Saccharomyces cerevisiae S288C: one gene and its partners. The main gene of each other region encodes a partner of the protein of the gene in region 2 in a complex. Each region holds a gene or a part of one and is shown on either strand. Other genes may lie near its edges. A codon is read from its position in the direction of its gene.

Region 1 (2,679 bases), on a different chromosome or scaffold from region 2:
TTGCCTTTGGCTATTCCATGGAATATTATTTTCATTTGAGACATCATAAAGGTGCGGAAGAGCATTGAACGTGGAGTTTTACTTTTGTAGAAAATTCTTTATTTTAAGCCTTTTTAAACCAAACATGCAAAGAGAAGAAAAACTTTTTGGTAAATCCAAATAATTTTTGAGCGAAATTGAAAGGAGTACATAAGTGATAGAACAAAATTTCGTTGTTTTCATATGTCTATAAGGAAACTCCGTCACTTTCTGGCTCTATTCATTTTTTCTTTAGTAAAGCATAAAAATAATGAGACGGAGAGTAAACTTTACAATATATATTCATAAAAATTCATTAAAATAAAACTGTTCGATCCTATTCGATATACACACACACATATATATATATATGTATATAGATATGGGTGTGTTTGTGTGTATCCGTGCTAAACTCGCAAATGCAACTTTATGTCAAACCAACTTGCTCATTCCTACATATTAATCCATTAGAGGAGATAAGTCTATATTTTTTGTTCACTGATATACATGACCTGCGTGCCCCTCAAAAAGACATCACTATTGAACTTATTTAGAAGCTTATTGTTATTACTCTCGTAGTGTTCAGTGGCACTCGATAGTGCAACATTCATAAAACCATCAATGGATTCCAATCTTCCGCTGTAGAGTAAACCCGAGGCAAGTTTGACGTTCACTGTCTTACCAATGATATCAGAGAGAAACTCCGTAGTAACGCTACCCTCTGTAGAAGCTTTTCCGGACATCACTAATAATCTCTGCTTGTTTTGCTTATACTGTGCAATGCCATATTTTCTCGTTAATATGGCGTCTTGTGCATTATTGAATGGGTTGCTGCGACGTTGCTTATTTGGCATTGTACACGAACAGCTGCCCCCGGGTAAAATGTTTTAATAATAGAAATATCTTACATTAAACGGCTAAAAGAAAGGCCTATAGTCGTAATAACATTTATTTCCTACACATAACCCAGTTAATTAGCCACAGTGATATTCGATTTATGCCGCTTCAATTGTGCTTAAATCGTTGCATCGCTTCAGTAACTTTTAATTGTAATGATAATGCACGTCAATTTAGTTTCCCATTCGGGTAAACAGTATCAGGTCGAGATATGAAAATTGGCATTCCTTGGAGAATGTTAGCCAGAAGATCGATCAGTCGACTCCCCTATTGATTAACATTTCATCTTTGCATACTTGGCGTTTCTAATCCTTATCTTTTATTACCAAGAGTTCATTGTACTTTTAATAAAGTGAAATATAACGTAGCATCTCAAGAGCAAGGAGATTTTGATGAAAAAAATATGTCAGCTGACCCTATTAATGACCAATCGTCTTTATGTGTGAGGTGCAATAAATCAATCGCGTCTAGCCAGGTATACGAATTAGAAAGCAAAAAATGGCATGACCAGTGCTTTACATGCTACAAATGTGACAAAAAATTGAACGCAGATTCAGACTTTTTGGTTCTGGATATAGGTACATTAATTTGTTACGACTGCTCAGATAAATGTACAAATTGTGGCGATAAAATAGACGACACAGCAATTATACTGCCTTCCTCAAATGAGGCCTATTGTTCCAATTGTTTCAGATGCTGTCGGTGCAGCAACCGTATAAAGAACTTAAAGTATGCAAAGACAAAACGAGGACTATGTTGTATGGATTGTCACGAGAAATTGTTGAGAAAAAAACAACTATTACTGGAAAATCAAACAAAAAATTCATCGAAAGAAGATTTTCCCATAAAACTTCCTGAAAGATCAGTCAAAAGGCCCTTGTCACCCACCAGAATAAATGGTAAGTCAGATGTCAGTACAAACAACACCGCAATAAGTAAGAACCTTGTAAGCTCGAATGAGGATCAACAGCTCACTCCACAAGTTTTAGTATCACAAGAAAGAGATGAATCATCGTTGAATGACAATAATGATAATGATAACAGCAAGGACAGGGAGGAAACATCTTCTCACGCAAGGACGGTTTCTATTGACGACATTCTGAACTCTACTTTGGAACACGATAGTAATAGCATTGAAGAGCAGAGTTTGGTGGATAATGAGGACTACATCAACAAAATGGGTGAAGACGTAACCTATAGGCTATTAAAACCACAAAGAGCAAATCGAGATTCCATAGTGGTAAAGGATCCGAGGATCCCAAATTCGAACTCGAACGCGAATAGATTCTTTTCAATTTATGATAAAGAAGAGACAGACAAAGATGATACAGACAACAAAGAGAATGAAATCATCGTCAACACACCCAGAAATAGCACTGATAAAATTACAAGTCCTTTGAACAGCCCTATGGCTGTACAAATGAACGAAGAGGTCGAACCTCCGCATGGACTGGCATTAACTTTATCAGAAGCTACGAAAGAAAATAACAAATCATCTCAAGGTATTCAAACGTCAACTTCCAAATCTATGAATCATGTCTCCCCGATTACAAGAACCGATACCGTAGAAATGAAAACATCAACCTCTTCATCGACATTACGTTTGTCTGATAATGGAAGTTTCAGCAGGCCTCAAACAGCAGATAACTTATTGCCGCATAAAAAAGTAGCACCCTCTCCAAACAAAAAACTTTCAAGATCGTTTTCTTTGAAGTCCAAAAATTTTGTTCACAACCTGAAAAGTAAAACTTCGGAAATGCTGGA
Region 2 (2,556 bases):
CTATGGCTTTTCAGCCATTTCGAGCCGTTCAGTTGGAACCCGCTGCCATGTAGTGACAAGCAGCGCGCCGAGTACGTGTCGAAGCTCCGCGAGTTCTACTCTAGCAACAAGTTCGTTGCCGGAGAAGCCGTTGCGGACAACCGCTTCAAATTGAAGAAGGCTCTGTTGCTGCAAATACTGGTAAACTACTTAGGCGGTCGAATGCTCGAACACGATCTGGGCGAGATCTATGCGATTTCAGCAAAGTGTTTCGATATGTGCCGCCAGCAGGGCGGCATGCGCAAGGTCCAATACGTGATCGGAATATGGCATTTAATGAATTGTACGGTGGCGATGCGGGGAAAAGACGTCGCTCTCACGAACGCGAAGCTGGAGGCGCTGGTTAAGCAAATCACCAGTGTCAAACAATAAACCAAAAAAAAAAAAAGAAACACTTGATTTCCTTTATCTATTTTTATACTTAATTATTTTTTTTAGATGCACTATACAAATTCGCGTTAATTTTTGCCTTTTTACAACGCCTCCGTAGGGGTCTTTTTGCCGCCTGGCACAAGGATGGCAATATTGTTGCCGCTTAAAAGCATTCTGCCATGGTGCTGCATAACTTTCTCATTTCTGCTCTCGTCCTCAGGATCGATAAGCCACTCGACAGCGTCTTCCAGTATAACGTTGACGAAGTCGTCGAAACCAACTAACGTGCCCTCGAACTCGCGGTTCGACTGCAGCACAATCAACACTTTCTGGTTAATTGTTTTATCTATGACTTCCAAAGGCAAAATCTCCGGTAGACTCATTTTGCGCGCTTCTGTGTATGCTTGTGAGTGCACGTGTATACGCTATGCTTGTTGTGAGACCATCTATCCGCCAAGGAAGCCTTTTTCGCTTTCTCTGTATTTTTTCTACTTCAATAAGAAAGCAAGTATTCTGTTTTGCTACCCGGATGCAAAGACAAAACCCGAGCATCCGGGTAATAAAAGAGCAGGGTCCGGCTGAAGGTGCCAAAAAAGACCAAAAAGGGCTATATTATCTCTCTCTTACGATTGCCTCTGGTTAAAAAATGAAATAGATAATAAAAGGGCAGCAAAGAAAAAAAAGAAGAATACAATATACGTATACGTTCTCAACAATTTTTCGTCCTGTTTTTTTCTTGACCACGGTCACTACTAACTCCTGAGACATCAGACCAACGTGTAGAAAAAAAGAAATCGGGTCCGGCACTGACACACGCTCTGCGCCAATCAACCAGGGCGCATCGAGCATTCTTTCCAGGCCAGGGTGCAGAAATACTATTATTAAGTGCGCGAATACTGCTGGTGCATTAAACGAGCGAGTACAGTGAGCCCGCCGCTGACTGCCGACTCACGCCAGGCCGCTATTTCCTTCCCCCGCCCGCGTAAGCCGTGCCGAGCACCGTCGCAGCAGTAAGAAGGTGCGCATTTCATTCTCTGCACAGCGTAGATGAATGCACCCGATTTCTAAGTTGGTGTTGCAAGGCCCGGTGGAAGCGATGGGCTGTAGTTCGACCTTGAGCTTTTAGTTATATAAAATGCTCAATGTGAGCAAAAAAATACATAACACGACGGATTGTACGTTGTCGAAATCTTCTCTCAGCAGGTCATCACACATATACTTCCCGCCATGCCTAACAAAGTGTTTAACGTGGCCGTTTTCTTCGTTGTGTTCAGAGAGTGCTTGGAAGCAGTGATTGTTATTTCCGTGCTGCTATCGTTTTTGAAACAGGCAATCGGGGAACATGACCGGGCGCTGTACCGTAAATTAAGGATTCAGGTTTGGGTCGGTGTGTTACTCGGGTTCATCATTTGTCTGGCCATCGGTGCAGGTTTCATCGGTGCGTACTATTCGCTGCAGAAGGATATTTTCGGAAGCGCGGAAGACTTGTGGGAAGGTATCTTTTGTATGATTGCGACGATAATGATCTCGATGATGGGTATTCCTATGTTGAGAATGAATAAGATGCAGAGTAAGTGGAGAGTGAAGATTGCGCGGTCGTTGGTGGAGATTCCTCACCGTAAGAGAGACTATTTCAAGATTGGGTTCTTGAGTAGAAGATATGCTATGTTCCTTTTGCCGTTTATTACTGTCTTGAGAGAAGGTTTGGAAGCTGTTGTGTTCGTTGCCGGTGCAGGTATTACCACACAGGGCTCGCACGCCTCTGCTTACCCATTGCCCGTTGTGGTTGGTTTGATATGTGGTGGTCTTGTTGGGTATTTGTTGTACTATGGTGCTTCGAAATCCTCGCTGCAGATTTTCTTGATTTTGTCTACTTCGATCTTGTACCTGATCTCCGCCGGTCTTTTCTCTCGTGGTGCGTGGTACTTTGAAAATTACAGATTCAACCTTGCCAGTGGTGGTGATGCTTCCGAAGGCGGTGATGGTAATGGGTCTTATAACATCAGAAAGGCCGTTTACCATGTCAATTGTTGCAACCCAGAACTGGACAATGGGTGGGATATCTTCAATGCTTTGCTTGGATGGCAGAACACCGGCTACTTGTCATCCATGCTTTGTTACAACATCTATTGGTTGGTTCTTATC
Region 3 (2,926 bases), on a different chromosome or scaffold from region 2:
GCGTTTATTACAAACTATAGAATTATCGCAGCAATGGTACGTGTCTGTTCCTGCAAGCGTTAATTCGATTGATAGATAAAGTAATTCATTAACCTTTGCGAATATGCTCTTTACTGTTAGGTTTCAGGATTTTAAAAATGAAGCAACTTTACTAACATCAATATGCAAATAAATCTGCAAAAACTTTTTTTCACAGGGCTAACTTGCGTACTCAAAAGAGACTTGCCGCTTCTGTTGTCGGTGTTGGTAAGAGAAAGGTTTGGTTAGACCCAAACGAAACTTCTGAAATTGCCCAAGCCAACTCTAGAAATGCCATTAGAAAATTGGTCAAGAACGGAACCATCGTCAAGAAGGCCGTTACTGTCCACTCTAAATCTAGAACTAGAGCCCATGCTCAATCCAAGAGAGAAGGTCGTCACAGTGGTTACGGTAAGAGAAAGGGTACTAGAGAAGCTCGTTTACCATCCCAAGTCGTCTGGATCAGAAGATTACGTGTCTTGAGAAGATTATTGGCCAAGTACCGTGACGCTGGTAAGATTGACAAGCATTTGTACCACGTTTTGTACAAGGAATCCAAGGGTAACGCCTTCAAGCACAAGAGAGCTTTGGTTGAACACATTATTCAAGCTAAGGCTGATGCTCAACGTGAAAAGGCTTTGAACGAAGAAGCTGAAGCTAGAAGATTGAAGAACAGAGCTGCTCGTGACAGAAGAGCTCAAAGAGTTGCTGAAAAGAGAGACGCTTTGCTAAAGGAAGACGCTTAATTGATTACAAATAATTAGCTAAGAAATTACGTACCTTCTCATTGTTCTATATATGTTTTATTTTCTCTAAAATGTACCAAATACAATAATAGTTTCAAAGGAGCAGAGAAAGAAACTAAGGTGAAGGAGACTGTTCGTAGAATAAATGAATATTGATTAAAATTTTCTGAAAAAAAGAGTAATGAAGTCGTAGTCATCGCTAATGTACCGTAAGTGAGTTCTGAAAGGAGGCGGGTTCTTGTTTCAACGTAGCTTGTCTAGTCCTTTATGGCATCGTGTAAAATTGGTATATATTCAGAACACCCAGGAGTGAATTGATTTGCTGCTATAGGGGGAAATAAGATGTAACGATATTTTTTGTACTGAATTTCTTTGATGATACTGCCAGGATTGAGAGTTTGGTTGCCACATGTACGCTTAGGACACTCATGACTATCACTCCTGTGTATCGCTTCCATGTCGTATACCCACTGGCCGATTCTCACCCTCTGCATTGTATGATATTACTAGTATTGCTTGTTTCAGGGGCAAGAATTTTCACTAATACACTACCAGTTTATGATAGCTTATCTACATCCTTTTACTGCAAAATTATTCTGGATTTGCAAAATTATTCTGGATTTGCAAAAGTTCGGCTTCACTATCAAAGCGAAAGGTGACCTTTTTATCGTACCTTTAAGAAAGATAGGCATAAACAATACTGTGTGGCAGGAAAAGATTTGATGAAGACCAAAAACAGCATCGAAGTGCTTTGCTACGATTTCTTTTTTTACTCTCCGGTTATTTTGAGCTATCTTGTCATTATATCTTTAAATTTATATATTTCTTTGCCCAGCTTTTAAGCGTTCACTGGAATTGCCCATATGTTCACTAAATATAAAACTGATTATTCTCTCCTCTATATTGTCATCTCGGCAGAAAAGCTACTTTTAAATAAGTTTTAAACACCAGTTTTCTGCAATGATAAAAATAGCTACTTTGGATAGAGGCTGAGGCCTAACTAGTTGGAAGAAACTACTTAGGGATCCTTTGTACGGGAAACTTTTTTCCGCTGTTGTAATTGTATCATTGTCGTTGTTCATTTTTCAAATCCAGGCAATGAGGAAGTTTTGAACCAAAAAAAATAAAACCGAAAACAGAGCAACTTTAATTATAGTACGGCATATAAGGAAAACAAATCCAGAATTCAATAAAAGAATACAATACTTTCGAACACATATCTCACGCTGATAACACCCTAGCAAGTATGCTTTTCTTCTCCTTTTTCAAGACTTTAGTTGACCAAGAAGTGGTCGTAGAGGTATGTTCATAATGATTTACATCGGAATTCCCTTTGATACAAGAAAACTAACGGGTATCGTACATCAATTTTTGAAAAAAGTCAAGTACTAACGTTTGTTTACCCCTGTTTATTGTGTTTCCACTCAGTTAAAAAACGACATTGAAATAAAAGGTACACTACAATCAGTTGACCAATTTTTGAATCTGAAACTAGACAACATATCATGCACAGATGAAAAAAAATATCCACACTTGGGTTCCGTAAGGAATATTTTTATAAGAGGTTCAACAGTCAGGTACGTTTACTTGAATAAGAACATGGTAGATACGAATTTGCTACAAGACGCTACCAGAAGGGAGGTAATGACTGAAAGAAAATAAGAATTATGCAGTCTATCCTCATGGCATTTTTTCTCATTAGTTTTTTACACGAGTATCATTTTAGGATATTGAGATTATATGTATATGTATATATGTAGGCCATAAGATGATTCAACGGTTTGTATTAATTATCCGGTTCCGAGCGTTAGGAGAAATAACTTGGTGTGATATCTGTCAAGTGGTCATCCAAAATTTTTTTGGCCAGAGCGTAAGCTACGTAGACTGATGAGGAATTCTTTTTTTTTGCCCCATTTTATCCCAAGAAATTCATTATGAGGTTTTGTTTTGTTTTACTAAATGCGCTTGATGGAAAAGCGAATGTCATGAAATGCAGATCAACACTCCAATAAAAAAGTAAATGTTTTTAAAGAAGTATATCACGCTACAAAAATTCATAAGCACTATATTTCGAACGTTAACCTAAATCTCTCCCACTAAGAAAATGGATAGAAATGTATATGAAGCCTGCAGCAATATAATTAAGGAATTTGGAACACATG

The links. Proteins that work in one complex are often made in the same cells at the same time.
Region 1: the proteins of LSM5 (region 2) and LSM6 are in contact, whole or in part, in a crystal structure (PDB 4M78), measured with the Saccharomyces cerevisiae proteins. Residues at the interface, in NP_011073.1 of Saccharomyces cerevisiae: Leu24 (codon at 725), Arg28 (codon at 713), Phe30 (codon at 707), Val35 (codon at 692), Phe37 (codon at 686), Asp38 (codon at 683), Asn42 (codon at 671), Ile44 (codon at 665), Glu50 (codon at 647), Leu52 (codon at 641), Val64 (codon at 605), Met65 (codon at 602), His67 (codon at 596), His68 (codon at 593), Gly69 (codon at 590), Arg70 (codon at 587), Met71 (codon at 584), Leu72 (codon at 581), Leu73 (codon at 578), Ser74 (codon at 575); in NP_010666.2 of Saccharomyces cerevisiae: Val11 (codon at 731), Thr12 (codon at 728), Phe15 (codon at 719), Leu16 (codon at 716), Asp18 (codon at 710), Asn25 (codon at 689), Lys27 (codon at 683), Leu33 (codon at 665), Met45 (codon at 629), Glu57 (codon at 593), Ser58 (codon at 590), Asn59 (codon at 587), Val78 (codon at 530), Met79 (codon at 527), Tyr80 (codon at 524), Ile81 (codon at 521), Ser82 (codon at 518), Glu83 (codon at 515), Gln84 (codon at 512).
Region 3: LSM5 (region 2) and LSM2 share a complex: the UniProt entries of both Saccharomyces cerevisiae proteins name them as parts of the spliceosome U4/U6-U5 tri-snRNP complex.

Annotation. Positions count from the first base shown.
Region 1 is NC_001136.10:1,228,849-1,231,527, forward strand, and holds LSM6 (U4/U6-U5 snRNP complex subunit LSM6), read right to left. Parts: upstream 762-2,679; coding exon 501-761; downstream 1-500. Other genes in the region: ATP17 (F1F0 ATP synthase subunit f), read left to right, coding at 1-68; GTPase-activating protein RGA2, read left to right, coding at 1,319-2,679. UniProt on the Saccharomyces cerevisiae protein: Component of LSm protein complexes, which are involved in RNA processing and may function in a chaperone-like manner. Component of the cytoplasmic LSM1-LSM7 complex which is involved in mRNA degradation by activating the decapping step.
Region 2 is NC_001137.3:460,823-463,378, reverse strand, and holds LSM5 (RNA-binding protein LSM5), read right to left. Parts: upstream 795-2,556; coding exon 513-794; downstream 1-512. Other genes in the region: cohesin-loading factor complex subunit SCC4, read left to right, coding at 1-411; YER145C-A (uncharacterized protein), read left to right, coding at 556-993; high-affinity iron permease FTR1, read left to right, coding at 1,639-2,556. UniProt on the Saccharomyces cerevisiae protein: Component of LSm protein complexes, which are involved in RNA processing and may function in a chaperone-like manner. Component of the cytoplasmic LSM1-LSM7 complex which is involved in mRNA degradation by activating the decapping step.
Region 3 is NC_001134.8:168,613-171,538, forward strand, and holds LSM2 (Sm-like protein LSM2), read left to right. Parts: upstream 1-2,010; coding exon 2,011-2,064; intron 2,065-2,192; coding exon 2,193-2,426; downstream 2,427-2,926. Other genes in the region: 60S ribosomal protein eL19 RPL19B, read left to right, coding at 197-764; RRN10 (Rrn10p), read left to right, coding at 2,869-2,926. UniProt on the Saccharomyces cerevisiae protein: Component of LSm protein complexes, which are involved in RNA processing and may function in a chaperone-like manner. Component of the cytoplasmic LSM1-LSM7 complex which is involved in mRNA degradation by activating the decapping step.